4 linked regions of the Struthio camelus genome follow. The protein of the gene in region 1 purifies or fractionates together with the protein of each later gene. This does not show direct contact. Links are inferred from orthologs where the notes say so. Each region holds a gene or a part of one and is shown on either strand. Other genes may lie near its edges. The genes, in order: CLK3, TNPO3, GPATCH8 and PSME3IP1.

Region 1 (7,251 bases):
CGTGGGATGTCGGGAGGGGAGGGTGGCTCAGGGCCCCCAGCCTTCTGCCCAGCAGCCAGGCTATTTGGTGCCCCCAGCCTACTCGGGGGAGGCTAGGAAAGCTCTCCACCCAGCTCCCTCAGGCATCCAAGGCTCCCACTGGTGAACGTCCCACCCACACGGTGTTATTTCGGCAGGAACGAGCTCCTGTGACAGAGGCAGCCACGGCATCGAAACGTGGCCGGCCCTTCCAGGCGCAGATGAAACCCAGCAGCCTCGCTTTGTTCTGGAGAGGCATCAGGGCCCTTGCAGCAATGCTCAGGGTCCCGCGGGCACTTCAGGCACCTCTGGGTGGGCTACACACAGCACTGAGCGCTGGGGCAGAGCATGCTGGGACAAGGCATCCCCTCCGCTGTGTGTGTCTCTTTTCAAAGATATCTGTCCTTTCCAGCAGGGTGAAGTTTTGGCAGGGCTCGTGGTCTGAGGGACAGGGCCCTGCCCTGCTCCCCTCGGGCTCTGCAGCCCCATTTTCCATTTGACCTCACCTCCCAGTCCCTGCAGAGGGGATCCCGCGGATGGGACTCGTGGATCTGCCGGTGCCGCCGCTCCGCGGGCTGAGGAACGGGGCTGATGCATTGAGGAGTGTCTGAACAAGGCAAGGGACAGTGGTTTGAAGGCAAAGGGCAGAGGAAACCCAACTGCACCTGCTCTATCCCCTTCACCCTCCACCCCTTTGCACCCAAATCACTGCCGGGATACCACAAGGGCCCAAGGAACGTCACCCTCACATCACCCCACAAGTGCTCAGGGTAACTCGAGGCTGGGCAGAGCGCGGGAGCGATGGTGCAGGCTGCTCGGCAAGAGGGGCCCGTGGTGGGGGACGTGCCAGCACGCTGCGCTGAACGGCTTGGAGGCGCCGAGAAACCCAGCCCGAGGCCAGCCCGCGGGATGCAGTCCAGCCACGCGTGGGCTGCACCATGCAATAACGCCGCGTGGAAAGGGCATTTTCGAAGCCGACGTGCTGAAACCCCGCAGAGGATGCTCTGCACCATTACCTCCGCCTGGAAGGGGTCCCAGGAGAGGGGTTTTCTGTTGCTCCTGTGCAGCGTTGAGACAGACGGGTGCCGAGATGCCCAGAGGTCTCTCCTCTGCCTCCCAGCGTCCAGCCTGGCCCAGCTGGGAGGCCCCAAGGCGACACGGAGCTGGTAGCACCCGTCGCCGCTGTATCGGGAGGGCAGAGCAGCAAAGCTGCTCCGTCTCCGGCACGACATGGGACGCTCGTCAGCGCCGCCGGCGCTCAGGCACGTCCCGGCTGCCGCAGATCCCGCCGCACGCTCCCAGGGCAATCACCCCACACGACGGGCAAGAGGGAGCCTGGCGCGGGCACGAGCCCGAGCTGCAAGACGAAAGGTTGGGGACGGCGGGTGAGAAGCCCTAGGGGCCGTCTGTCCACGCCGTGCCGCCGGAGCCCGTTCCCTGCTGCTTTTGGGAAGGGACGCGGCGGGACCAGGGCGCTGGCTGAGCAGCGGGCGCCGAGTTGCCGGCTCAGGAGACAAGGAGGGCCCACAGGAGAGACCGGCGGCCCCACGGTGGACGTGGAGGTCCCACCTCGAGGAACGCCAACCGGGTCCCCGCCGTGAGCAACTGCGCAGCCCAGCCGCCCCGGCGAGCGCCCACCAGGCAGCGAGGAGGGCGCGGGGCCAGGCAACGCGATCCAGGAAGTGGCCGAAAGAAAACAAGGAGACACGTTCACAGCGTTACCGGCGCCCAGGAGAGGGAAGAGCATCACCTGGACCCCCCAGGACAGAGCCTCGTCGGGCGCGCGGGCCGGCGAACGCCCCGCTGGTGGCTCGAGCCCGCTCCGCGGCGCGGCGGCGCGCTGAGCCTCCAGGGAGCGAGCAGCTCCCCGTCTTCGCCGCCGGAGCCAGGAAATACACTGCGGACGGCACCAAGGCAACTCGGGCGGCGCCGCGGCTCCGGGAACCCGTTCCCGGTCTGAGTATTTTCCACGTTACGCCAGCGGCACTTCAGCACCTTGCCGCTTTGCTGCCCTAACCGCTAGGGACGCCAATCCGCCGCCCTACAGCCCGCTTGCCCACCGCCTGCTGTCGCTTCCCCTCCCTCCTGCTCCGCGCCCCCAGGCCGCCGGCCCCCCCGCCCCTCGCCCCCGTCCCGAGCCTTCGCAGGGCACGGCCATCGCCTCTTTTCCTCCCCGCGCGCCGGCTACGAGCAGCTGCCTTCCGCTCCTCTCTCGGCTGCTCCTTGCTCGCCGCTGGGGGCGGTTGCGCGCAGGGGGACGCCGGCCCCGTGGTGGGACTCCATCGTCCGCCGCCGGCCTCCCCTTGCCGGCCCTTGCGAGGCTGCCGGGTTTGGGGCGTTAAAACAATTTGCAAGGTTAAAAAAAACCCAACCAACCCACAAGCGCTTTGTTCTCTAAACGGCCCGAAAGCGGCAATTCAGGTTCCTCCGGAGCGGGATAACGATAAAACGGAGACCTGTGCTTTTCCTCTCTGCCGTTACGGCACGGTTCCCAAAACGGCCTTCCTCTCACGGCGACAAAGAGGGACCCGAGGCGTCCTGGCGGGGCAGCTCCGGGGAGAACATCAAGGGGAGAAGAGGAGGGGACACCCAAGCCCACCGGCGGCACCGCTTGCGCACGCCAGCAGGGACGAGCAGTGACGCTCGTCGGCCCCCCGACCGAAGGTGCGCTACCGGCGGCGCCGCGCGCTCAAAAAGCAACTGTTTAAACCGCAAATCTGTGCTTAAAAAAAGCCTGTGCAAAATGCCCAAGGCACCCGGCCCCTTGCCAGCCTGCGGGCGCGCTGTCCCGCAGGCCTCCCGGCTGCTGGCGAGCCCGGCCGTGCCCTCGGGCACCGTCACCGCCGCGGCAAGGAGCGACCTGCTTGAGGCCCCGCCGGCCGGGCCCGGGGGACCGCTCGCCCTGAGCCCGGGCCCGGCGGCCCCTTCCCGCCCGGCTGCCCGCACGGGACACGGGCAGCCAGACAGCTCCCGCCGGCCAGCGGCAGCCAGGGCGAGGAAGGCCGCGGCGAGGCGGGCCAGGGTGAGGAAGACCGCGGCGAGGCGGGCCAGCATGAGGAAGATCATGGCACGGCAGGTCAGGGCGAGAAAGACCGCGGCGAGGAGGGTCAGGGCGAGGAGGACCGCGGCGAGGAAGGCCACGGCGAGGAAGATCATGGTGTGGCGGGCCAGGGCGAGGAAGGCCAGGGCGAGGAAGATCATGGCGAGGCGGGCCAGGGCGAGGAAGGCCGGGGCGAGGCGGGCCAGGGTGAGGAAGACCGCGGCGAGGCGGGCCAGGGTGAGGAAGATCATGGCACGGCAGGTCAGGGCGAGGAAGATCATGGCGAGGCGGGTCAGGGCGAGGAAGACCGCGGCGAGGAAGGCCTCAGTGGGGCAGGCCAGGGCGAGGAAGATCATGGCGAGGCGGGCCAGGGCGAGGAAGATCATGGCGAGGAAGGCCATGGTGTGGCGGGCCAGGGCGAGGAAGATCATGGCGAGGCGGGCCAGGGCGAGGAAGATCATGGCGAGGAAGGCCATGGTGTGGCGGGCCAGGGCGAGGAAGATCATGGCGAGGCGGGCCAGGACGAGGAAGGCCACGGCGAGGAAGATCATGGCGAGGCGGGCCAGGGTGAGGAAGGCCACGGCGAGGAAGGCCTCAGTGGGGCAGGCCAGGGCGAGGAAGATCATGGCGAGGCGGGCCAGGACGAGGAAGGCCACGGCAAGGAAGGCCTCAGTGGGGCAGGCCAGGGCGAGGAAGATCATGGCGAGGCGGGCCAGGACGAGGAAGGCCACGGCAAGGAAGGCCTCAGTGGGGCAGGCCAGGGCGAGGAAGATCATGGCGAGGCGGGCCAGGGCGAGGAAGGCCACGGCGAGGAAGATCATGGCGAGGCGGGCCAGGGCGAGGAAGGCCACGGCGGGGCGGGGGCAGGCCAGGGCGAGGCCCGAGGCCCGGCGGCTGCCCGGCGCTAGGACCCCCGCGGGGCCTCTCTGCCTTCGGGGCGCCGCGCGGCGAGGAAGGGGTTAACCCGCCGCCTCCTCCGGACCACCGAGGCGGCGGCCGGAGCGGCGCGGGCAGGGGAGGAGAGGAGAGGAGGGGAGGGGAGAGGGGCGGGGCCGGCAAGCGGCGGAAGCGGAAGCGGGAGCGGGAGCGGCGGGCGCTGCTGGGCCGCGGCGGGCCGGGCCGGGCCGGGCCGCGGGGCTCGGCGGGGAGCGGAGCGGAGCGGAGGGGCGGTGAGCGGCCGGGCGGGCCGGGCCGGGCCGCGGGGCTCGGCGGGGAGCGGAGCGGAGCGGAGGGGCGGTGAGCGGCCGGGCGGGCCGGGCCGGGCCGGGCCGCGGGGCTCGGCGGGGAGCGGGGCCGGGCTCGGGGCCGGGCCGCTGCGGCTGCCGCAGGCCGCGCGGGGCTCTCGGCGCCTCGCCGGCCCGAGCCGCCTGGCTGCGCTTGGCTCCCAGCCCCTGGGGTGTCGCTTGGGTGCGTCAGCTGCTCGGGCTTTTGCTCCCTTCAGGAGAACGTTTGTACCAAGTTTGCCTTAGGTCCGGTGTCTGGTCCCGTGCCTGTCCTCGGACGTTTGCCTTGGCGTCTCCCTGCGTGTCCCGCAAGGCACTTTCCCACCCCCGCCCGGTTTCAGGCCCCAGGGGGGTCGGTTGCACGGCCGCAGAGGAGACGCGGTGGCACGGATTTGTATAGAGATTATTGTAAAGGGCACTGGAAAACTGGATGATAGCTCTTGCTTCCTGAGAGGAGGCCTGAAGGGTGCAACGACGGCATACCTTAAACGATGGTGGCGTTGGCTGCGTGTTTGGCTGTTGGATGCCTCCGTCCTTAGGGATGTTCCGAAGCAGCCTGAACGCCGTCCTGGGTTACCTGCTGCAGGGGGGCTCCCCCCGAGCAGGGGGGTCGGCCTAGGTGCTCTCCGGAGGTCCCTTCCAGCCCCGGCCGTTCCGTGATCCTGTTGCGAAGGACTCGTCCTAAGTCTGTGGGAATCTTTGCTGTGGCTTTCGCAGCCCCTTCCTGCACCCGTTCCTGTGTAGGGCAGTCTCTGTCTCCGTCTTTCTTCTTTGATGGGATAAGAAGCTTTGTGACTCTTTCAGGAAGTGGTTAGAGCACGAACCAGCGTGTGTTCCAGGTGCTAAACTGGAAATTTCTAATGTTTTTAGATGCATCACTGTAAGAGATACCGGTCGCCCGAGCAAGAGACCTACTTGGGTCACAAATGGAAGAGGAAGAGGTCTCGCAGCAGAGACTATGATGGAAGATTGCGATACCCTCCCCGGAGGGATCTTGCAAGGAGATCACGGTCTAGAAGGTAAGAGCCGGTTTCATCAAAGGTTGGCACCTCTGCTAGGCAGCTACTCTGGCATCTGCACATGGCTACAGGTGAGGTGTGGGCAAGATTATGCTCTTAATATATACTTGTCGTTGATCCCGGTCATGTTTCCAAGCTAGCACTGAGTGGTGACGCGTTGTGTTTCCTGATTGTGGATAAGCTTTAAAACTGTAAATCCCAGAGATGGAAGTAAATGGCTTATTTGTTTGCCTTCTCCTATGCGCTTCTGCCTCTATATCTAGCCAAAAGTTCTTCCCAAAATAATGGCACGTTTTTAATATTAATGAGAGAGAACAGCCTGCCCTGGAATCATGTTTCCCAGCTCTAATGCTGCGGAGCCATTAAAGTCTTTGTCTCTTGACAACCCGTTTTCTTCTGAAATTACAACTCAAAGTTTAAAAACAACAAAAAAGAAACTTTTACCTCACTTATACTGTCAGAAAGGAATTATAAATCTCTGCTCTGTTATACCATAAGTTTAACTGAGCTTTACTGTTCTGGCTCTGGATTTTAATTTTGATCCTTTTGTTCGTTGTTTCCCCAGGAACTGACAAATTAGCACACAGGTGCTGAAAGCGCAATAGATAACTGTCATCTGATAAAAGGGTCTGGGGTGAGGGTTCTGGAACAGAGATAGGAGTGTTAATAGAGAGCTGTGTGCTGATACTTCATGGTTTGAAACTGAAATAGGTTGGCTGTCCTCACTGCTCGGTGGTGTTGGAGCTTGTCCAGGTGCTGTTGCGCTGGCTCAGCTGCGGTTTTAACAGGACAGGTACGGCTAAAAGGGAATTGAGTTCATCTTTAAATTCCTTAATTGTTCTGTTGTTTAAATTCTGTTCTGGATCTCTTTTGTGTTTACTTGGAAGAAGTGCATTGTGAAATACAACTGACGCACGCAGTGGACTTCTTCTTTTTCATCTAGTGGATTATATAGAACAGATTTGGATGAAAAACATCTTTTGCTGGGTGAAAACCTTTTTGCCCCTTTAGGCTCAGACTGTGAGCTTCTTACAGGTTTGTTGGTCTCCTCACTATCTGAGCCCTTCAAATTCTCCATTGTTGTTTCTGAATCCTCTGTGTCTTGAAAGTCCACCCTGAAGTTTCACAAGGGTATGTTTCGAGTGGAGTATTGGTGTTGGTATAAAGCTGTATTTTTTTTGTTTGTTTGTTTTTGGATACTTTAGTGATGACCTAAAGCTGCTGCTGGCTTGGCAGGCTGTGTAAAGCTGTTTGTTCTTAATCCAAGATGAAATGAACCACCTGCTTACCACGCGCACATCTGTGTACTGTTAAGCTGTCAGCAAGAGGGCTGACTGTTGCCAAAGTAGAGAGGGAGGAAACAACGAAAGCTCCTGTTTCCAGAGTGGAGCAGTTGCAACAAGGTCTTGGTCAGAGATACAGTTGCTCTTTGGTCTCAGCTAGGTACATAAGACAGCATCAAGCTGGCCAGCCATGTGCCCAGAATGCCACTGTTGATCACGCTTTGATTATCATCTTTCATGGAAAGCCAATATGCTGTTCTTCCTCTGTGAGTTACAACATCTCCTACCTAAACCTTGGCTTCTCATTCAATGACGTGTGAAGCAAGACTTGCACTGAAGGCAGTATTTTATGAGATAAAGAATAACCGTTGGGGTGGGGGGAAGACAGTCATGCTTTTGAGCGTACAAGCCAACCGTGGTTAAGTGATGCCATATTTGTTGTACTGTTTAAAAATGTAACCGTAACAGTTCTGCCAAGAAAGCCCGTGGGATTAAGCTGCGACCTGCAGAGTAAAAAGCAGGAGTTATAGAATGGTGGTTCTAACTTGAGGCACTTCCAGCTCACAGATGCTCTCTAACTGAGCACAGAGAAGCTGCTTAGTTCTTCAGTTAATGTGCGCGCACAGTACCTAAAACAGCTTACAACTGGTGACAAAGGGGAACTTTTG
Region 2 (7,901 bases), on another chromosome or scaffold:
CTGCTGCTCCCTGGGGTGCTTCTCCCCATGGGACACCACTGCCCGTGGGACGCTGCTGCTCCCTGGGGTGCTTCTCCCCATGGGACACCTCTGCCCGTGGGACGCTGCTGCTCAGGGGGTGCTTCTCCCCATGGGACGCCACTGCCCATAGGACGCTGCTGCTCAGGGGGTGCTTCTCCCCATGGGACACCACTGCCCGTGGGACACTGCTGCTCCCTGGGGTGCTTCTCCCCATGGGACACCACTGCCCGTGGGACGCTGCTGCTCCCTGGGGTGCTTCTCCCCATGGGACACCTCTGCCCGTGGGACGCTGCTGCTCAGGGGGTGCTTCTCCCCATGGGACGCCACTGCCCATAGGACGCTGCTGCTCAGGGGGTGCTTCTCCCCATGGGACACCACTGCCCGTGGGACACTGCTGCTCCCTGGGGTGCTTCTCCCCATGGGACACCACTGCCCGTGGGACACTGCTGCTCGGGGGGTGCTTCTCCCCATGGGACGCCACTGCCCATAGGACGCTGCTGCTCAGGGGGTGCTTCTCCCCATGGGATGCTGCTGCCCGTGGGACATTGCTGAGCTGCTGCCACCTGCAGGAGGTGACATCACTGTGCCGTCCCCATCACAGGCACCATGAGTGGTGCCTGGCTGAGGTGGGCTGGGGCTGAGCGAGAGGAGAGCAGCCCCGCGTCCCGGCTCCTCGCTGTGGCACCTTGGCTCCCGCAGGACACCCAATGTTGCCAGCAGCACGCCCTTCCCTTGCTGAGGGCACCTGGGGACACGTGGTGGGGCTGCAGATGGGGACACGGATGGGGGTGGACATGGGGATGGAGATAGGTACAGGGATGGGGATGCAGACTTGGATGGAGCATGGAGGGAAGGACAGGGACGCATCCTGCCCCTCTGTGGGGCTGGGCCGCCATGGGCTGGTCCCTGCCGTGGGTCTCCAGCACCGAGGGAACAGCAGCGCTAGCTAAGGCCCAAATGACCCCGGCGACGTCATCAGAAAGGCCAGAAAAGGCCCCAGCGCCCTCAGGAACGCTATCAGCAACAGCAGGAAGGGTCAAAGCTCCCTGGGGAGCCAGGCTGGGAATGCCAGCCCTAAACCCCTGCCATCTCCCTCATCCCTGCCCCGGACCCCTGCCCTGGACCCTGCCCCAGACCCCCCCCAGTCCCCTCATCCCTGCCCCAGACACCCCAGTTCCCCCCCCAACACCCCCATCCCTGACCTGGACCCCCCCAAATGCCACGAGCCCTGCCCTGGCCACACGGGTGCCATGAGTGCAGCGGGGCAAGAGGTGCGGGTTGAACGTCCCTCTCCTGCAGCCCCTTGGCGTCCGCACCTGGGAGGACACTGAGCCGGGTCGGGGGCACCGGTGGGGACGGGAGCGGACCAGGCTGGTGGGGGGTCCCTTATATACCTGTAGCAATGGGTGGTGCTGCACGGGGTCCCCTATGCACCTATAGCAGTGGAGGGATTGATGTGAGGGGTCCCCTATATGGGGCCATGCCACGCTGGGATCCCTCAAGCTGCCCCTTCCCCGAGGCCGGGCCGAGCCTGGCGTCCCCCATGCCCTGAGCCCTGGGCCAAAGCCCCAGGCAGGAGTCATTTGGGGAAGCGGAGGATGTGGTGGGCCATGTTGGAGGTCCTAACCGCGTGCCTGGCCGTGCGCCTGGCGGCCGGAAAGTCCCCCCATGACCGCTTCTCTGCCCTGGCTCAAGCCAGGCGCCGGGGCCCTGGGCGCCTGCGGCAGCATCGCCGGGCTGCTCCGGCCTGGACCCCGGGGCCGCGGGAGGTCCAGGTCCTGACGAGACGCAACAGGTCAGTCTGGGAGAGGTAGTGGTGGTTGTTCAACTTATTCATCCATGACCTGGAGGAAGGGACAGAGTGCCCCCTCAGCAAGGTTGCCGATGATACTAAACTGGGAGGAGTGGCTGACACACCAGAAGGCTGTGCTGCCATTCAGGGGGACGTGGACAGGCTGGAGAGTTGGGTGGAGAGGAACCTCATGCAGTTCCACAAAGGCAAGTGCAGGCTCCTGCCCCTGGGGAGGAAGAACCCCAGGCACCAGGACAGGCTGGGGGTTGACCTGCTGGAGAGCAGCTCTGCCGAGAGGGACCTGGGAGTGCTGGTGGACAACAAATTGACCACGAGCCAGCAGTGTGCCCTTGTGGCCAAGAAGGCCAATGGTCTCCTGGGGTGGGTGCATTGAGTGTTGCCAGCAGGTGGAGGGAGGTGATCCTCCCCCTCTACTCAGCCCTGCTGAGGCCACATCTGCAGTACTGTGTCCAACTGTGGGCTCCCCGGTACAGGAGAGACATGGCACTACTGGAGAGAGTCCAGCAGAGGGCTACAAAGCTGAGTAGGGGACTGGAGCATCTCTCCTGTGAAGAAAGGCTGAAGAAACTGGGCCTGTACAGCCTGGAGAAGACTGAGAAGGGAACTCATCAATGCCTACAAGTATCTGAAGGGAGGGTGTCAAGAGAGGATGGGGCCACTCTCTTCTCTGTGGTGCCCAGTGACAGGACAAGAGGCAACGGGCACAAACTGAAACACAAGAAGTTCCATCTGAACAGGAGGAAAAACTTCTTTACTGTGAGGGTGACAGAGCACTGGAAAAGGTTGCCCAGAGAGGAGTCTCCTTCCCTGGAGATATTCAAAACCTACCTGAATGCGCTCCTGGGAAATATGCTCTAGAGGATCCTGCTTGAGCACGGGGGGTTGGACTAGATGATCTCCAGAGGTCCCTTCCAACCTCAACCCTTCTGTGATTTTGTGTGATGCTGTGAACCCTCTGCCCTCCAGCATGGGGTCTGGTCCCCCATCGCTTCCCTCTCGCGTTAGGGCTGGGTCAGGAGCCCCCCCTGCCCTGTGCCCTGTGCCAGCACCCAGCTCCCCGGGGCTGCTGCTGGTGGGACACCACCACCCACGGGACACCACGGCCCGTGGGACACTGCTGCTCCCTGGGGTGCTTCTCCCCATGGGACACCACGGCCCGTGGGACACTGCTGCTCCCTGGGGTGCTTCTCCCCATGGGACACCTCTGCCTGTGGGACGCTGCTGCCTGTAGGAATGGCAGGCCTGAACCCCTGCCATCTCCCCCATCCCCCCCCCCAGTCCCCTCGTCCCTACCCCAGACACCCCGACCCCACATCCATGCCCTAGATCCCCACCAACACCCCCATCCCTGACCCGGACACCCCCCCAATTCCCTCATCCCTGCCATGGCCACGCAGGTGCAATGGGTGCGGTGGGGCAAGAGGTGCCAGTTGAACGTCCCTCTCCTGCGGCCCCTTGGTGCCCACAACTGGGACGACACTGGCCAGGCTGGTGGGACCGAGGGTGACGGGAGCGGAGCGGGCCGGGCAGGGGTCACCGGGGGGGGGGGGGGACGGGAGGGGACCAGACCGGGGTGGGGGTACTGGGGGGGGATGGGAGGGGACCAGACCGGGGTGGGGGTACTGGGGGGGGATGGGAGGGGACCAGACCGGGGGCACCGGGGGGGCACAGGAGGGAAACAGTCTGGGCCGGGGGCACCGGGGGGGGGACAGGAGTGGGCCGGGACGGGGGGACGGGAGGGGACCAGACCGGGCCGGGCCAGGGGCACCAGGGGGGACGGGAGGGGACCGGGCCAGGGGCACCGGGGGGGACGGGAGGGGACCAGACCGGGCCGGGCCAGGGGCACCAGGGGGGACGGGAGGGGACCGGGCCAGGGGCACCGGGGGGGACGGGAGGGGACCAGACCGGGCCGGGCCAGGGGCACCAGGGGGGACGGGAGGGGACCGGGCGGGGGGCACCGGGGGGGGACGGGAGGGGACCGGACTGGGCCGGGCGGGGGGAACTGGGGGGGACGGGAGGGGACCGGGCCGGGGGCACCGGGGGGGACGGGAGGGGACCAGTCTGGGCCGGGGGCACCGGGGGGGACGGGAGGGGACCGGGCCGGGGGCACCGGGGGGGGACAGGAGCGGGCCGAGCTGGGGGGAACGGAGGGGACCGGGCCGGGGGCACCGGGGGGGGACGGGAGGGGACCAGACCGGGCCGGGCCGGAGGCACCGGGGGGGATGGGAGGGGACCGGGCCAGGGGCACCGGGGGGGACGGGAGGGGACCAGACTGGGCCGGGGGCACCGGGGGGGACGGGAGGGGACCAGACCGGGCCGGGCCGGAGGCACCGGGGGGGATGGGAGGGGACCGGGCCAGGGGCACCGGGGGGGACGGGAGGGGACCAGACTGGGCCGGGGGCACCGGGGGGGACGGGAGGGGACCAGACCGGGCCGGGCCGGAGGCACCGGGGGGGATGGGAGGGGACCGGGCCAGGGGCACCGGGGGGGACGGGAGGGGACCAGACCGGGCCGGGGGCACCAGGGGGGACGGGAGGGGACTGGGCCGGGGGCACCGGGGGGGACGGGAGGGGACCGGGCCGGGCCAGGGGCACCGGGGGGGACGGGAGGGGACCGGGCCGGGGGCACCAGGGGGGACGGGAGGGGACCAGACCGGGCCGGGCCGGAGGCACCGGGGGGGACGGGAGGGGACCGGGCCAGGGGCACCAGGGGGGACGGGAGGGGACCAGGCCGGGCCAGGGGCACCGGGGGGGGGCGGGAGGGGGACAGACCGGACGGGGCCGGGGGCACCGGGGGGGGGGAGCGGGAGGGGGCCGGACGGGACCGGGCCGGGGGCACCGGGGACCACGGTCCACACGGGGTTCAGGGCCGGGCTGGCGGCCGGGCCCAGACCGCGCGCACAATGGCGGCCGGGGCGGGTCCCGGAAGCGCCGCCGCCGGGGGGGGGTGGAGGGGGGCGGCCCGTCTCTTCCCGCCGCCGCCGTGCCGGCCGGGCCGCTTTGGGCGGCGCACGCGGCGGAAGCGCGGCGCGGCGGTTCCGGGCGGCGCGAGCGGGCGGTGGCAGCGGGCGGGAGGGAGGGAGGGAGCGGGGTTGGCCGGACCGGAAGCGGAACGCGCGGCTCGGCGCGTGTTTCCGGCGGGGGCCGCGCTCGGCGTGGCACCGCCCCGTCCCGGTAACGGACGGCGCAGGGCGAGGAGATGGCGGCGGGCGGCAGCGGCCGGCGGCCCTGAGCGGCGGCGGCGGCAGCATCGGCAGCGCCATGGAGGGCGGCGGGGGCAAGCCGAGCCTGCAGGTGGTGTACCAGGCCGTGCAGGCCCTCTACCACGACCCCGACCCCAGCGGCAAGGAGCGGGCGAGCTGCTGGCTGGGCGAGCTCCAGCGATCGGTGAGGCCTGCTCCGGTGGAGCACGTTTCGGGCGGGGGGCAGGACCGGTTTTGGGGGCGGGGGGGGGGAAGTGTGTGGAGAGCTCAGTAGGCCTCGCCCCAGGCCGCGGCCTGGCCTCGCTGCTCGCCTGCCCCGGCGGCTGTCGGCGTTGTGCCCCGGTCCCCTCCGCTCTTGCCCACCGCGTCGCCGGTCCCGCTCGCCGCGGCCTGTCGGCGTGAGAGCGGGAGTTTGGTCGACGTCCGGCGGCGCGGAGCTGGCTGGCGGGCAGCCCCTCCGCAGCTGCTCGGCGACCTGGCTTGTCTTCGTGGCTTCACCCGAAGCAGCGAGGTGGTGTTTTGTTATCGTTACCGCTCTCCAAGTCCGCTCTGGGGAGCGCAAAGGCCTGGCTTTTGTCGCGGTCTGCCCGCGCTGAGGCTCCTTGACCAGAACAGGAAAGACAGGCTGCCTTATTTGGCACAGCCTCTGTGGTAGCTGAGGAGCAGGAAATGGTTGAGGGAAACGTTGTGAAAGGTATTGGACGGGCCCACAACCCCTCCTCTCGCCGGGCGTGATGGACCCCACGGGCACCCCCGCTCTGCCCGCTGCTCCCGGCCTGCCCACGGCCGAGAGAGCTGAGGCTTCCCCTGGAAAACAGTCGAAGTCGTGCTCTAGCTTACGGTGAACCAGAGGAGTGGAAGCACTGCTGCTCGCTTCTGAAACCCTGAAGTGATTGATGTCAAGTTCTGTCCTGCTGGACTTTAGCCTCAAGACTAAATTTAGAAATTGATGTATGTTTTTTGGCCTAGCCGTACTTCAGGGCATTCTCTTGCTGAAAACATATTTGTTCGCTCTTGGTTGTAAGGCTGGGAGTGACTTCATTTTTTTTTTTTTCCCCTAAAGCCTATTGTTTCTCCTTGTTGTCTTTTGTATCGGTATGGCTCTCAGCTATGTAGAGCGGAGCATAGAGCGGGCGTCCTTTGTGTCGCTGATGTCTAGTTTTCCTCCTCTGCCGTCCACACGTCCCCTCTACCCCCGCCCCTCCCGCCAGAAATCTTTGGAGGCTGCTTGTGTTTTCCGAGGAGAAGCAGTGAATCCTGAATTCTGATCAGTTTTGTCTAGCATGCTGGGACCTCTTGAAGAGCAAGACTTCTGCCCCCTGCACTGGTCTGCTTGTCTCAAAGCCTGAATGCTGTGAAGGACAGCAGAAAATTCTCCTCTGCTTCCTCGAGTGTCTTCCCAAGCAAGTTTTACAGAGCTCTGTTCAGCTTCCTCACTTTGTAGGAGATAAGTAGTGACTGTGGAATTAATCTGCTAGATAAATGTTGCTGCTCTGAACTTCTCATTGGCTAGTACCTCTTTACAGCATTCATTACAACAAACTCATGTTTTCTTCCTTAATTTACTTGAGCTGAATAGAGTTGGATTCCTAATTATCGTAAGAGTCTATAGTAGTATTTACTTCTGCAACTATTCTGGTAAGTTTGGGAAAAATCCAGTTATAAAGATTAATCAAGTCTATGTATATTTGGATGGTATCTTTTCCTGAAAAAGCGGTCTTCACCATTTGGAAAGTACGTGGGGTGGGTGTGCAAGGAGAACAACTAAACTTACATGAATTTGCCAAGTGTTGAGTGCCAACACACAGCAGACACACAGCAGTTCTTCTGATCGGTTTGAGACGTGGAGCAGAGCCCCCCTGGACCCTGTCGCCTTGCTGGGCTGTACCCTCACACCAGCATTTAAGGTAACTTGATGAACGTTAGGGGTTTGGTTGTGGCCGCGTGAAGATCTTGTTTCAGTTTATTTCCAGAGCGGTGTCTCTCTTGCCCAGTCTGTGACTTTGTTGTGAGGTTACTCCTGTTTCAGAAACTAAATTTGTAATCGCGGCATGAGATTCTCCTTTTTTGTCACGTGAGGCCTCCTAAACCGCTGAATCCCTACCTGAGAAGGCCAAAGGCAAACTAAAGACTCCAGCTTTTATTCTATATTAGAGTTGAAAGAGAGTAAACTGTGCTGCAATTATTGCAGATCTATTTCTGGAACAGATAACGCTTTTGCTATGTGCCTAGATGAATTCCTGATCAGCCTTTGGGGCAGAGAGGGAAATCTAGAGCCAGCTGGTGATGCGACAGGACAAAGAAGTGGATAGCGTCCTGCTTTCAAGGTAACTTGCTGAACATCAAGACTGCAGTCTGAAGCGGTTACTTCTGCGTTAGGAGCAGAGGGCCCCCCCGACGGCATTGTAGGGCCTGTGAGCCGTGCTTGAGACACACTGCCCCATCAAGAGGAGCGGTGGAAGCATTTGGGTCTTAATTTTTAAAAAAACCTGGCCTCCCACGAGGATGGGGTTTCTCATTCGTCTCTGTCCCTGTGGAAAGCCTTGTGGTCTGTTTTGCTCAGCTGTGGTTGCTTTGGACGCTTATCTGTGTTTTCCAGATCGTTTTGTAAACTAAATCAAAAGCGTGCTTATTTAATTTAAGCCTTTGTTGCCTTCTGCTCCTTGAACGCTTCTTTCTGCGCTGGCTGCTCCCTTTAACTAACTTGCCGTCGTACAAATAATCTCTAGTGACTGAACAGACAATTCCTCTGCGAAGCTGCTTTTGTCCTGTGGCGCAGATAAGTGTGCGTGAAGTACCTCAGCAGTCTGGCCAGAAGACAAAGGGGATCCCTTTGCTTTTTAGAGGGAAGTAACTTCTTTATCT
Region 3 (6,912 bases), on another chromosome or scaffold:
CATCCTTTCACTTCAAAACCATCACAAGCAGATCACCCGAAAACTAAATCTAAGGGATTCCTCTATGGTCTTCCCCACGTTGTCAACCCCCCCCCCCGCCCCGCCATGCTACATCAATCCCTATTCAACTCGTATAATTGTAGAGCACGATCTCCTCTTTGTCATGCCGACTTAGGTCTCAACAGACTAGCAATAACACAGGGTCAAATTCATAGTCATGCTCCATCAAATCACAGAAATTTCATATGGTGAAACTCAAGAGTTACAACTACTATATGTTGTGTGAAAAAAGCATTCTTAACACTGATAGAAACAGTCCTATAAATGAAGCCTACATACAAATTTATGACTTTACACTAACAGAGAAATAATTTTAATTTTGCTGTAGTTTTGAGACTAGTATTGTATACTGACCATGAAAAACAGTGTGCTACAGGCATATTTATTTTTACCTGCGCTTAGCCACAGCATAACTTTCACAGTGGACCTGCAAATAAACACTCAAAATAGCAAACTATTTCCTTTATTCCACACCAGTCTTTTATCTCAAGTAAGATCTCAGTCTAGACACAGAGAAAAAAGTCAAAAGTAATCTTTGAAAATAGTTTTGATGAATAACTAGAAGGAAAACCAATAAGATCAGAAAAGCCATCCTCCACCAACATACTTCCAGAAAATTATTAGAACAACTATCAGGGATCATTGTACTGGTGCCTGATCTCCCACAAATTCAGTGTGAGCTTGGCCAAGTCACTTAGGCCCGCTTTCTCCCATGATCAGCGCTTTTATAGCCCATCATTTTTATATGTTCAGTCTTCCGCAAGCTTTAACTGACTCTGAATTGTTCTGCACTCAGTTTCTTCCCAGAGGACTGATTCCCCTTCTCCATTAAAGGGAGCTTTAACACACAAAATAAAATGTCTTCTTGTTCGCAAATTTTGAGTGAAGAAAGAATGGAGAAGTTACCCTATTATAAAATTAATCCCTCCTTTTTTAATTTTTTAAAGATAGCCAAAGGGCCTGACAATGAATGCTTGACATTTGGCATGGATATAGTCCTAATTAAAAATAGTGCCTTTTTTTAAGGTGAGAGGAAAACAGAGTTGTGACTGGGTTATTGTTTCTGAGCAGGCTCAGCAGCTTTCAAGATTTCAGCATCAGGTAATGGAGCCCTGTTTGCTATCTGACCTCACTACACATTCTCTCTGCATGACCAGATCAACGCAATGACACAGTAACAGGTTTTGCCACTACAATTGTGTTTTGTAAAGCAGGTTGCCCTGCAAATGTAGGAAAAAAAAAAAATCAAGGATAACAAGAAAAACACGTATGTGAAGAAGTTGTGGAATATATGATTATAGAGCCTAGCCATTTCTTGGCTATATCCTAAAATACTCTAGCTGTTCTATGTTCCCATCCTCTCCCCTCCAAAAATCAAACTACTCGTAGAAATGTATTTTCAAACTGCAGAAGTTTGGCCCACTCCGCTTCCTGAAACAGGAACTTCAAAGCCTGATCAGACCATTTCAATATTAACCATGAGGCATGTCTTCATTTAATGAAATAAACTATGCAAGCCATCCGCTGTGTTTAATATTAGGAAGCCATACTTACAATCCATAGATAAGGTAATTGGTGAAGTTAACCATGTTGATACATATTTGCCCATATGCTTCTAATATAGTTTAATACTCACTACTTATGAAATGCGCATCCACTAAAGCATCCAAAAGAATTACTACTGGATGTCCTGACTGTTTCAAGATGGTATCTTAATGCTACACTAAGTAGAATTATGCAAGCTCTGTAATTATAAAAAACAAGAAAAAAAAAACAAAAACCACTCCCAGCTCCTTGGATGAAAGGTGCAAGTTTACATGAAAAACACTACTGTGACTTTGGAGTCTTGAAATAAGAATGACCACATAAGAGATAATCAATAGCTGTTCTCTAGTTGCATTTATTCTCACTCCCTTTGTTTTCCCTTTTGTAACCTCAGGACTCTCTCAGGCTCAAGTCAGAAAACAAAATGTCATTGTTTGAGCTTAATTAGTCAACGTTAATTTTACAGTTGTTTATTTAAATCCACTTAAAAATACCAACAGTGGCATTAACGATGCAGAAACACTAATATTTTATTACAAAAAAAAAAAAACCATGAGAAGGAAAACGCATTTTCCACAAAGAATAAGGGACGTTAGCACATGCTGAAGGCAGCTGGAGAAACGGCAGAGATTTCTTCGTACGGTATTTACGGCTCTATTTGGGGAAAGCACGCTGCGAGAAAGCAGGAAACAGTTCAAAAGCAGGTGAGAAGAGCGGCGAGGCAGGAGCCCGAGCAGCATCCCACCGGGGACCCCGCTCCCTCTCCGCCTCCGTCGTAACACACCGTGAAAATAAATGCAGGAAAAGCACTGCTCCCCGCTTTGGGGCGGGGGTGCTCTTCACCGGGGCGAGCCGCCCCGGGCCTGGGGGAGGGGGAGCGCCTGCCACGGCCCCCCGTAGCCCCTCCGCCGCCGTTATCGCCCTGCCCGGAGCAGCCGGCGGGGGGAACCCCCCCAGGGCCCCTTGGCGGCTCGGCCCCTTCCTCAGCCCTTCCCGCGGGTCACCTTGACAGCCCGCAGCGCCGGCCCGGCCCGCGCCCCGGCACCCCCGCCGCGCTCGCGCCTTTGTGTCGTTACCCGCCGCCGCGGAGCGTCGCGGCCGCGCACAAAGCCCTGGCGAGGGGCGGCCGCGGCCCGCCCCGGGCCCGGCCTGCGGGGCCGCCGCAGCCCGAGGGGCCACTGCGGCCCGAAGGCGTGGGGTGGGGCGCCCCCGCCGTCCGCCGCTCGGCCCGGGCGTTACCTGGAAGTCCCTGTCCTCGTTGAAGCGGGAGAACCTGTCCGCCATTTTGCTCCTTCGCCGCCGCCGCCGCCGCCTCGCTCGGCTCGGCTCGGCCCGGCCCGGCTCCGCGACTCACGGCCGCCTCCCCTCAGCGCCGCGGTAGCGCGCCCGCCCCGCCCCCGCCGCGCGCATGCGCGCTGCTACCGTGCGGGCCACGGTCACGTGCCGTGCCCCGCCGCCGCGGGGCTCCGCCGGGCTAATACGGGCGGGCGGAGCGGAGGGGTGCGGCCGCGGCGGCTGGGGCAAGGCCCCCCTCCGCGGCGCACGGGGGCCGGGCTGACAGGAAGAAGCTCGTTGCCAGGGGCTGGGGGAAGGAGCAGCAGCGCGCGGGGCGGTCCCAGCCAGGCGGCTCCGGGGGAACGGGGCCGTGAGTTATGCCCGGGTCCCTCCGCAGGGCGGCGGCGACAGCGGCTCCCCCCGCCCCGGCGTGGGCCGGAGCGCGCACTGCGCATGCTCGACGCATCCCTCGCGGAGCCGCCGCTCTGCCCATGCGCGAATCCAGATCTCGGCCCGGGAAACAGGAGGGCGTGAACCCTGCTTCAGCCTTCCAGCCCTCGCGACTTGAACCAATGGGGCTGCCCCAAATTCTTGAGTGATATCAATAAGAACCAATGGGAGAGCGGGCTCGCCCCGCCCCCGGGGTGGCGGTGGGTGCTGCCGCCTGGCGGGGGCGCGCATGTGTGAAGGGCCCTGAGAGGGGCCGGGCGGGGCGGCTGGGGGGCGCTGCTGCAGCCGGTTCCCCGTGGAGCCCTGCCTGGGGCGTCGGGGCTGCCCAGCACCCCCGGTGCGGTGCGGACAGGTCGCCGGCCCCAGCTAGCATAGAGGCCCAGGCCTGAGGGGAGCAATGGCGCCCGGGGCCGGGCTGTGGCCGTGGCCCTGCTGCTGCCCCAGGCCCACCGCTGGGCCCCGGGGCCTTTCCTCACCCCTGTGTCTCACGGCAGCCCACAGGGCTTTGAGAGCAGGGGCTGGGCCCATCTTTTCCATTCACTGCCTCAGCTGTCTCTGAGCATGGCGCCGCGCGGTGCTGTCTCTCTGCAGTCCCTGACAGCAGGAAAATCGGATTCCATCTGTCTCCATTCACCCCGTTTCCTTCTCTCGCCAGAAGTCTTGTGGCTCAGGTCCTGCTTGCATGCTGCCCTCTGCCGCCTTGTTGAGGAAGGGTGGACAGAGAGGTGTTCAGAAACAGGCTGCGTTTGCAGGAAGCCTTTGGGCTCCAGTGCTTTGCAAAAAGACCTTTCTGAAGTCTGTTGACCAGACCATGCCTCCGTGTGCTGCACGTTATCTGTCTGCAATGCAAATGCCTCTCGTGACAAGCCCTGGGCGGCTTTCTGCAGGACTTCACCTGCCAGCTGTCGGTCGGATGCAGGGGAGGCTGAAGTTGTGCCTGTGCGGTCAGGTCCGAAGTGCTTTATCCTATGCAGTATGCTTTTAACAGACCTGACTTGATCTATTGCTGCAGTGTGCCAGTCGAGACTGTGCTGCCAGCACTCCTTCCTGGAGCTCCATCAAATATCTCCTGCCTCTGACAGTAAAGGTAATGCTTGTTAGGAAGGTTGCTATTCTCATCGCTGCCTCCCTTCAGCAGCCCTACAGAGACACTCCTCCAAGAGTTTCCCCTAATCCTGGCTCTCCCCCTGTCTCCCAGAGCTGGAATTTGAATTGAATTTGCCGTGCTAAAGCTGTGGCCTTTCTGTGCTTTTCTTCAGCCCCTCTAAACACCTCAACCCCGGGGCCTACGCAGCTCATCCCAGATCAGCAGACCTATGTCAGGGCAGAGCCAGGGCCCCTTGCTAATCCCTTCCCGCAGCGGTTCGCCGCTCCCTGTTCCTGCCACAGCAGCAGCCCATGGCGGGGGATGTGTGTGAACAGATGGTGCCACAAAAGTGTTTCTTGCCATCCCGTAGGCAAGGCTTTTTGGAGAGGAGCCTCAAGGCAGCTCGCTCTCTCCATCTCCCTCTGGGTGAGGAGTTGTGCCCTGTGCCAGCAACACTCCCAGATGAACAGAAACAGCCTCTGTGCAGATGTGCCCTCTGTGCACCTGAGTTTATACCACTGTGAGGGGAGGGAAAGTCTCAGAGAGGCTGTGGTGATAGCAAGGGGGAGCTGAGAGCATGAGCAGAACAGCAGCCCCGAAAGACGGCAGAGGAGAGTCCGGCAGCAGCGTTCGTGCTGCCGCGAGCCTGGTGGGGCTGCACAGCCGTGGCTTGGGCAAGGGGCAGCTGCTGGTGCAGAGCCGGCAGGCCCTGTTCTGCTCTGCTTCTCTCTCTGCTGACGTCCCCGTTGCTTAGCCTGGGGCAGGATGGAGAAACCAAGGCACGGAGGGGAGCAGGATCACAGGAGGGGCAGAACTCGGGCTGCGGTGTCCCTGTTCCCTGCAGCGACCACACTGGGGCCCCGAGGAGCAGGATGGTGCTCAGCAGCAAGTCCTGGGGCCAAGGAGCCTGTGTCCATGGAAGTGCTGGAGCACAGCTCCTCTCGCCACCAGCCCTGCCCTGGGGAAAGGGCTCCCAGCTCCAGCCTTTTTGCTTCCTCGAGTCACATCAGCGTTTTCAGAGGGGTCTGTCCCCCCTGCCATCCTGAAGCACCCAGACGGGATCATGAGGGCAGGGTGTTTGCACACCACACCGGCCAGGGCAGGGGTTCCTCCCCAGGACACTGGGCATGGCCACCCCCATCTCGCACCTGCCTTGCAGGATGGAGCAGTCAGTCTCTTGGGTGGCTCAGTCGAAAGGACACCCATGTCCTGCAGCCAGCCCACTCGTGGGTCCTAGGTGGGCACCCAGGGGCCCTGGTCCCAGTGCCGGGGCTGTGCCCACGAGGGGGAGCTCCTGCTCCACCCAGGGCTGACAGCAGGCAGTGGGACCCCCCACCCACATGCTGGGACCCCCACCTTGCTCCTGGTGCTTGGGCCTGGCACAGATGGGACCAGGCAAAACAGCACCCTGCTCTTGGGGTTGTGCCAGGCCCCGGGTGCCAGGGCACCCACAATTCAGGGCTCAGCATGTGCAGCGTGGGGGGCTGCACTGGGGGGAGGGCAGGGCTGGGGCTGGGGCGTCAGAGGAGCCCAGAGCCCTGGGGCTGGCAGTCAGTCAGCAGCAGACAGCGTTCGAAGAGGGGGCAGGAGCCAGGTACCTCCACAGTAAAGACTCAGCTCCCGGAGTCCCGTTATCTGGGCTCTCCTCCCACAGCAGGCATTGCTGCCAGATCCTGGGCTTGCCGGCTGCATGCAAGCCCTGTTTTCCTGCCCCCTCCCAGTGTCGGCATCCAGGACACGTGGCAGGGGGATGGCTGCAGCTCGCAGGGGGCACACGGAGCTCCCTGAGCTGGCCATGGCTGACCAAAGGGCAGGCGGACAGGCTCCAGTGAGGGCTCAGGGGTCACCATGCGGGTGGCTCAGCATTGGGATGACTAAGCTAGTCATTAGGCCCACAGCAAGATGCCATTTCCCAACCCAATCTGGAGCCATTTCAAGCTGGGTGGGATGAGTCCCGGGGCAGGGAGCGATGGTGCCCACAGCAGGAGAGCAGCTGGCACCCGGCATCCCAGTGCTGGTGGCACTGAACCCAATTGGGCAAGGAGAAGGGAGTGACCTTGTTGGGGTGGCAAGTCCCACGGGAGGGCCCAGGCATCCATGCAGCTTACCCTCCCTTCTCAGTGAACCCCATCCTGCTGGATTCACAAAGCCTTTGCTTCTTCTTATTAATGTGTATAGGGAACCCAGCCCTGCCAGGACCTTGGGGTGGGGGGGGATCTGGCACCTCGGGGTGCTGAGCTGGGGACAGGGGGTGGCTCCCTCCTGGGGGCTGCATGTCCGAAGCACCAGCTTGTTCCCCTAAACCATGGGTTGGTGGGGCTGGAGGCAGCACCCTTTCACCCTGAGCCTGTCCTCCCCCCGTGCCTCAGTTTCCCTGAGTGCTAAAGGGGTGAGCAGAGCCCAGCAGGCAAACCAGGAGCTGGAGCAGGGACTGCTTTGGGGCATCAACGCTGGGTGCTTGGTCTGTCCCCACCCCATGAGTGCTGTCCCCTTAG
Region 4 (7,805 bases), on another chromosome or scaffold:
AACCACCTATTACCCCTTCTTTACTATTTCTCATAATTATGTCTTCCCTGTTAGGAAAGTGTCCCGAGGCAGACAACTAGAAGTGACATTACAATGTAACTTTCCTTACCTCATCTTGGATTTACCTTGGCAAAAGAAAAAAAGAGGGAAAAAAAAAAAAAAAAGAGAAAAGAAAAAGAGCCTCTTACACACTTTTCTTCCAGTTCCTGCACCTCTCTGCTCTTGAGAAAGCACATGAAACTCGGCCGTCATTTTACATAAGTTTTTTGCCCATCCCGTGAAAACCTGAAGTAGTATGCCTATTTTCAGTGATTTCAGAAATTAGCAGCTAAACTCTCTAATCTTCCAAAACCTTTTTGCATCGCTGCGTGTCAAGAAGACAATGTGTGCATCATCCCCAAAGAACAGTTTGGCATGCCCCACCTCAAACCTACTGTCCCCACGTGGACATTATTGTAATTGCCACTCCCAGAGAAAGTAGGGTCAGAGCTTGCCTCTCCTATTCACTCTAATAGCATCCAGGTAGCATGAAGAAACTTCAGAACCAGGGTTTTTAGAGCTAGACTTGAGTAAACTATGTTGCAGAGAGTGGTGGTGGAAATTAACAGTGATTAGATGTTAAAAAAAAAAAAAAAAGAAAAAAAAAAAGAAATTTAAGTCCTTTGGCAGGGTTATAGAGAACCCAAAAGGCGAGTGGAAGAGGGAACTCTCTCTGGCTGCAACAAGGCTGGGAGTAGAAGACTGGAGCAGTGTTACTAGACCAAGTGAGTACAGCTCCTTCACACTTAACATATCTGCCCTCCACTTCAAGAGATGGTAATACTTGAGTACTGGGCAGATATCCCATTTCAGTATCAGGCCCAGGGTGCAAATCCTCCATAGATACATCCTAAGAAGGAAATTCATGGTCTTGACACCTATAACTCCAAGATGAAACAACGATAGACTGCTTGTGCAAGTCCTATTTGGCTCCTTCAAGTTATTCTGTCCACTCTATGGGCTATGAGAGGCATTATTCCTGACTTATTTTTTTCTTACTTCAAGACTGTATACCGGAGTACAATACAAACATAGGATCAATAGCTATTCATTTAAAGTTATGCTAACATCACACTTTTCCGTTTTCTTCACATTTCCCTGATATAGCTTCAGCAAGTACCTCAAGGACTACAGATAACTGCCACATACTGCTAAGTCTTACGCATTTAGGATCTAGCTCTGCCTGCATTTCCACACTGGAACAGAACTGAGTACCTATATTCTTCCAGAGAAGAAGGAAATAACTCAAAATAATGGAAGGAACTAGTGTATCATACTTCCTTTGCACCACAAAGAACCATTCCTGCAGGAAGCCCAGTCCTGAAATTCCTACAGAAATTGATGCTTTTGTGGCCTACTACTTGTATCACAAATGACAAACGGAGGTCCTAGTAGAGATCCAGGTTAAGCACTGTACAAATATTTACTAAAACACGATGCATTCGTAAGATGTGAACTAACAAGGCAAAGAAAAGAAACAGATTTTCTTTTTAAGCGTGGAGAAAGGAAAGAGAGGTCAAGGGCTGGTTATTTTCCTTTTCTAATCTAACAAAAACCCACCCTTAAGATGAGTCCAATTTCCAGGAAGCATGGTGCATGTGCTCTTTGGAATGTCATTTCCAAAGGTGGCTTGAGGGGAAAATCCATAGAGAAACTGAAAATTGAAACTCTCTCCTCAATATAGCTCCTAACCACAAGATCAGCTTTCCTACTGAAGTGCTGCACAAGCAAGATAATTTTGTTCCCAACTTGTGTCATTTCAGCTTGTCCTTTAGACAGGAAATGTCTACAATGGTGACAAAAAAATCATAAAAACAAAAGGAAGAAACAGAGTCAGCAAGGGTGCAGCATCATTTCAGGACTAAAGCTTTCAATAGCAAACCATCTGCCTTCTGGTTGAGCCACTTAGCCAACATACTGTAACACAGTGGAAATAGATTAGGATTTAATTATGATGCGACATAGAACTAAAGTACTTTCGCTATAATCCTGGAGAGTAGCATCTAATGAAACATTTTATCAAATGATGGCTCTACTGACAGCCTCATCTTGGGGCACTGAGACGGGGTGGGGGGGAAAGATGCAGCGAAGCATGTAAGTATATACACACTTAGAGGTCTGCTAATCTTGCTGCAGTATTTTCTTTCTCGCATCTCACACACATATATATCCACAAAGTCTTCCAAACCAGAAAAAATACTTCACGTGTGTTTGGAAGCTGCCCTTTTATTAACCTTCTTGTCCAGTGACTATGTTTTAACGAAGAAGTTAGATGTCATCATTTCAGCAGCACAGCAACAGAATTCCAAGCAGTAAACTGGACTTTTTTGTGCTAGTAGATGGTAACGATCCCAGTATTTAAAAATAAAAACTCACGGTCCTTGTCATTGCTCAGGCTGGAACATGCCTACAGCAGAGGCGGTATCTCTGGTATTCGCGTACACCTTCCAACACGTTAAGACCACCATCGCTAACGGGTAAGTCAACACGTTGCTGTCACAAACGCCTAGCAGCTCTCCCAGCGCCTCCCCAGGGCGCCAAACCGAGCGCACCCTGAGCCCGCCACCAAGCGCGCCGCAGCCGGGGACCATCACCGAGGCCCCGGCCCCGCTCTCCCGGGCTGGCGCAGACGGGCAGAGGGAAGCAGGCTTCCCCGGAGGAGGCCCGGGGCGGGCAGGGCCTGTTCCCCGGCCCGCGCCGCCGCGCCGCCCCTCTTCCCGGCTCTCCCGCCGCAGGGCCCCGGCCCCCTGCGCTCCCCGGGCCCCGCCGCCTGGCCCCGCCCGCCCCCGCACTCTCAGAGCCCCGACCCCGCCCAGGGCGGCGGCCGCGGCGGCGCCGCCAGCACGTACCGCGGCCCGGCAGCCCGTTACAGCAAGACGCGCAACCCAGCCTAGAGCGCCGCCATTGCTCCCCTCCCGCAGGGCCGCTCCGGTTCGCTCGCCGCCGCCGGCTGCCCCGCCCCTTCCGCCTGAGAGAGCCAATCGAGAGAGCTCTTCCCCAGGGAGCCCCTCCCCCACTAACCAATCCTAGCCGCTCTTACGGGAAGGAGCGCAAGCCGCCGCCGCTCCGCGCGTATCAGGAACGCGCCGGGCGATTGGCTGCGAGGTGACATCAAGGCGGCCCCGCGCCGGGATTGGCGGAGGTTTGCCCGGCGGGGCCGGGGCGGGGCAGGACGGGTCGCCCGGGCGACGGCGGGGGGCGGAGCGGGCCGGGGCGGGGCGGGGCGGGGCGGGGATGGTCGGTGTGTGGCCTCCATCTTTCCGCCGCGCGCCGCGGCGGCACAAAGGAGCGGTGCTGCCTCGCCGCCGGCCCGAGGGGGCGCGGGCGCCGCGCGGCCCCGGTGCGTAGCCGCGCGGGCGCGGCCGGGGGGCTGCGGCGGGGCGGGGCGGGGGCAGGGCTGGCGCGGCGCGGCGGGGAAGGGGCAGCGCCGGGCCGGGCTGCGGGGGGCGGTGGGCCCGGCGCTGCCGACGGCTGGGGCCGGGCGCTCCCCGCGGGCTACCGGGAGCTGCGCGTGTGGCCGCCGCTGGGCGAGGCGCCGGGAAGCCCGGGGCTGGGCCGGGGCCCGGCGGGCAGCGCCCGCGGAAGGGCGAGCTCCGCTCCCCGGGTCGTGGCCGGTGACCCTCGCTCGCCGGAGTAATCCTTGCTTATGCAGGTACTGCCGTGGCGTTTAGCGGAACAAATTGCATAGCTGGAGTTCTCTGTGTGTGATTGAAAAAGAAAGAAAGGAGGAGGAAAGAAAAAAAAGGCAAGGGGCCAAGATGAGGCTCTGTTTTCGTTGCGCTCTGTTGGGCGGCTTGCATGGTTGAACGCTTGCTGAATGCTCTGCATGGAGGCCCCGGCAGCAGAGCTTGGTTTAGATGTAACCTTAGAAGCTTGCCTAAGCAAGCTGCAAAACTTGCACGAGGCGGGAGTTTGCTGGTGCTGGGACTGTGCTCCCGAGAGCTGCGGTTGTTCGGCACAGCGAGGTATTCCAACTTCTCAGGTCCTGAGAGAGCCTCCTGGTACTTCTATGGCTTGCAGAACAAGAGCTCTGCTGCAGCGCGTTGAAAGGAATTGGGTTTTAGTACACAGAAGACGAAATGACGTGCTCCTCTGTGATCTCTTGGGAACCAAGAGGCGTTCAGAAGAATTTTGTTTAGCCCAGGAATATGTTTTTACTAAGGGAAGCAGTCTGAATCCTGAAAACCTTATTTACCGCTCCTTGTTTTTAAAAGCATTTTTCCCAAATAACTTTTCTCTGTTTTACAGAGAAAATATGAAGATATTGAGTAGGCTACAAAATGCAGTTATTTATCCAGATCTTTTGTTTTTGCTTGCCTGAACAAAAGATTAGGCAGTGGCACCTTGCGTACTAGTGTTGTAACACTGTTGTACTGTTTTATTCTCTTAGTTTGGTGGTTACAGAACAAGTCTCTTCCTTGCTTTGCACAATCACAGTATCAAACTTGCCTTTGTTTCTAAGGCCTTTGATTCTGTTCTACTGGTCACTGTTTCCATCACATGCATCTTTGTTTTTTTCCTTCTAATTTTTTATTGCTAATCCTTATTTTATGACATGTATCAGGAGGTACGGTATCCTTCTGGGTACCTTCTTGATGCAAGTCCTGAGCGTCAGTGTTTTTTTTCCTGTTTTGTTACTACTAAATCTGACTCTGAATCTCTCAGTAACCACTCCAACCCCAGAGTTCATTTTGGTAGTCAGTTGTTAATTTGTCAGCATTCCTTATGTGACAAAACTTTGGTCACAGCCACGAGAGATGCCTTTTTCTCTAAATATGTTCAACCTTCTAGACTCGCACTATTTTCTGTGGTTTTTTTTTTTTTTAAAGTCTGTGTCAGTATATGCATTCTTCAACATAATCAAGGAGGTTTTTTCAGCTTGGTCTTGGGTTTTTCATCCTTGTCTCTTGTCTTCCAGTTGATGTGTTTTTGATTTGTTTTTTTGTCTTGTGCTGATCCTCATTTCAGTTCAACTTTACTCATAATTTTCTATACATCCATCTTGACCGATACTATGAGGTCACTATCATGTGCAGACCTAAATACATTTGTCGTCTTCCTGTCTACTGTAACTCTTCCCTTTCTTAGTATCCCTCTTCTTAGTATTCAAACCTTCGCTATTACCTTGCTAAACTAAACAAAACTGTTAAAGGTGAGTATTCTCATCACCCACAAGCAATCTGAAATATTCTGTTCTGCTATTTTGGACTCATTCATTTAGCTATCAATTTCTGGAGGACCAGGCATTCTCAAAACTTGTCATAGCGTCTTCAGAGTCGAGGATGCTGTTGGTGTATTTTTCTTCTAGATTTATCCAGCTGCAAAGAATTGATCTGTTCTTTGCTCTGGTCTAAATCTGGCCTGCAGTTCTTCAAGTGCTTTTGCATATGTCTTTGTTCTCCTCTACCCAAGCCCACTCAGCAAGAGAATTCTTCTGTAGTCTTGGCACCGCGTTCTGTTTTTCTTCCTTTAGGTCATTACTGTTCCTGCTTTGTGCCCCATTCACTGCTAGTTGTTCTCATTTGTAAGTCTGGTTGAATAGGTTGTGTGTTGCCTTTACTGTATTTTTTTCAAATGCTTGCAGCACAACTGTAGTTGCGTGATTGCTTCTTGCTGTCTTTCCCCTTTTCATCCAAGCACTCTCTTGAAGACCCTGCTAATTCTGACGGTTTTTAACATCTATTTTCCATCACTTATATCCTGAAGGAGCTTCCCATACTTTAATGTAGTGTTTTGTATCGTATACAACTCCTGTAGTTACTCTTGCTATTGCTTGTTCTTTATTAGCTTAGCCTTAGTTAGTTACCTACTTTTAGATTGCTAATATCTCTAGGTCAGATATTCTACTCCTTCTCTTTATGTTCTAATATAGTATCTGTGTGCGTCTCTGGGAAAAGAGGGTTATTGGTTTCCTTAAGTCTTTCATTTGCTTTTTTTATTCACCTTCAGTCTCTTATGTATGGAGTTCAACCGCAACGCTTCATCTGTTAACTGCCTTGATATCCTGCTCTCTGGTCTTTTATTTCAGTGATTGTTCAGTGGCTCTCATAATCCTGCTTTATGTTGTTCCATGTGTATATATTTTTTCAATTTTTGCTTTTTCTTTTAGAAAGGATAGGTTGGTTTCTGCACAGCTTCTCAGTGTTCTTTTGTGGTATGTTTTCAGTATTTTTACATCAGAGGTCTTGGCTCTCAGCATGTTTTGTTTGCTGTGAGTCTCATGGATGGCCATGCTAGTTTACGGTCTGAAATAAATTAGTTGTGATCTTTTGATTCCTGTCTGTACAGTATGACATCTCTTATATTCTGCCCATCAGGTGATATCAAAGCCGATTTCCCATAAGCTTTGTTCTTGAAGATTAAGAAGGAATAACATGAAAGATATTGAGTAGCCAAAGCAATAGGTTGCTGATAAGTGTGGTGATTTGTTATAGAACACTTATTGTTCTGTTACTTTAGGCTTTTGTGTTCATGTTTCCTTCCACATTAAAAATCTCCCGTAGCTAATAATGCTTTGCATTTTGAAACCTCTCTTGTTGCTCTCTTTAGGTCACTTAAATGTTTGTTGATGTGGTCACAAAATGACATGGATCTCTGCACATACACTATGACAGTTCCCCCTCAACCTAGAGGTAGCAAGTTAAAGTACTATCTGCTGGTAGTAGAATTGAAGGTGAGCTAGTGATAAGGTTTGTTCTATTCTGCTCCATTGTCAGTATGTTGTGTTTAGCATTTTAAATTCTCTGTACTGTTCTTTTCTCCCGAAACGGTGATTGCTTAGTAGGTTTTGAATGCATTCGTTGCTTTAAAGTAGTGCAGGCACATAAACTGCTCTTAGGTTCATTGTCTTTCAAGTGTCTTATTAGAATTTTGTCTTGTCATTTTGTGCTTTGCACTTCCTTGTGTCTTGTTGACTTATTTTGTTTTCCCTTCCTGATTTGTATGCAGTGACTGTAAACTTGCTATGTCATGGCAGCAGTTGTGCCAGCAGGATCTTTTTTTTTTTTTTCCTTTGCTATTCTTCATTGTATCCTTGGGGCCTAATATGAGTCAAACGTTCAAGCATGATTCCTAGATTTTGTGACTGACCTGTGGATCATGATCTATCTTTGGCCGTGCTCGTAGATATCTGGTACTGTGTTCTACCATTATGGTGGCCAAACTTGTGCTGTAGAAGTGTTGCCAACTCTCCTATGGGAGCTTTCTGTATTAATAGTCATTTTGGGATACTCAAATGTACCACTCCCTGTTTATTCATATACGTTTATTAATGAGGGTTCAATGACTTGCTGTGATCAATGACCAGAAATCCATCCTTTTCCAAATACATCTTTCCCCTTGTAGAAGTAATAGTTTCTAAGTATGCAACACACTTGCTACTGTAGTTACTTTTCTCTCAAGCCATTTTTGCTGTAGAAACACTTCACTTTGGCTTTGAGTCTCTGAACATCTTGGGTGTTTTGTTGGACGCAATGAGAAGGACCAGATTTGGTGTCGTTTTGAATTAAGTATTTTCCGGTATTGACCTGGCTTTTTGGATCGCTTGTTTCAGTACATGCGTACTAACTGGTATTAATATAGTTTGAGTCATGTAGTTCACAGACTGCCCTCTAACCTGTTTCAGAAGATTGTACCATTTGTGTGTATTCTCTCTCTGCCTGCAGGCAGAGTGAGACATGGAAAGTGATCTTGAAAATAGAAAACCCGGCAGGTTCCCTGTGGTTCTCTCGCCTAAAGGCAAAGCTATCTGGTGACATGAGGAAAGC

The links.
Region 2: the proteins of CLK3 (region 1) and TNPO3 purify together in Homo sapiens (affinity purification with mass spectrometry; 4 studies listed by BioGRID and IntAct, counting the BioPlex papers as one, with this or other methods). This does not show direct contact. The link is inferred for Struthio camelus from reciprocal best matches to the Homo sapiens genes CLK3 and TNPO3.
Region 3: the proteins of CLK3 (region 1) and GPATCH8 purify together in Homo sapiens (affinity purification with mass spectrometry; 3 studies listed by BioGRID and IntAct, counting the BioPlex papers as one, with this or other methods). This does not show direct contact. The link is inferred for Struthio camelus from reciprocal best matches to the Homo sapiens genes CLK3 and GPATCH8.
Region 4: the proteins of CLK3 (region 1) and PSME3IP1 purify together in Homo sapiens (affinity purification with mass spectrometry; 3 studies listed by BioGRID and IntAct, counting the BioPlex papers as one, with this or other methods). This does not show direct contact. The link is inferred for Struthio camelus from reciprocal best matches to the Homo sapiens genes CLK3 and PSME3IP1.

Annotation. Positions count from the first base shown.
Region 1 is NC_090953.1:23,500,623-23,507,873, reverse strand, and holds the start of CLK3 (dual specificity protein kinase CLK3), read left to right. Parts: upstream 1-4,237; 5' UTR 4,238-4,294; intron 4,295-5,151; coding exon 5,152-5,300; intron 5,301-6,011; exon of another isoform or gene 6,012-6,093; intron 6,094-7,251. Other genes in the region: cingulin-like, read right to left, coding at 525-625, 1,035-1,250. UniProt on the Homo sapiens protein: Dual specificity kinase acting on both serine/threonine and tyrosine-containing substrates. Phosphorylates serine- and arginine-rich (SR) proteins of the spliceosomal complex.
Region 2 is NC_090942.1:1,545,231-1,553,131, reverse strand, and holds the start of TNPO3 (transportin-3), read left to right. Parts: upstream 1-4,896; 5' UTR 4,897-5,094; coding exon 5,095-5,220; intron 5,221-7,901. UniProt on the Homo sapiens protein: Importin, which transports target proteins into the nucleus. Specifically mediates the nuclear import of splicing factor serine/arginine (SR) proteins, such as RBM4, SFRS1 and SFRS2, by recognizing phosphorylated SR domains.
Region 3 is NC_090966.1:268,061-274,972, forward strand, and holds the start of GPATCH8 (G patch domain-containing protein 8), read right to left. Parts: upstream 3,006-6,912; 5' UTR 2,890-3,005; coding exon 2,845-2,889; intron 1-2,844.
Region 4 is NC_090951.1:29,704,410-29,712,214, reverse strand, and holds the start of PSME3IP1 (PSME3-interacting protein), read right to left. Parts: upstream 3,004-7,805; 5' UTR 2,889-3,003; intron 1-2,888. UniProt on the Homo sapiens protein: Promotes the association of the proteasome activator complex subunit PSME3 with the 20S proteasome and regulates its activity.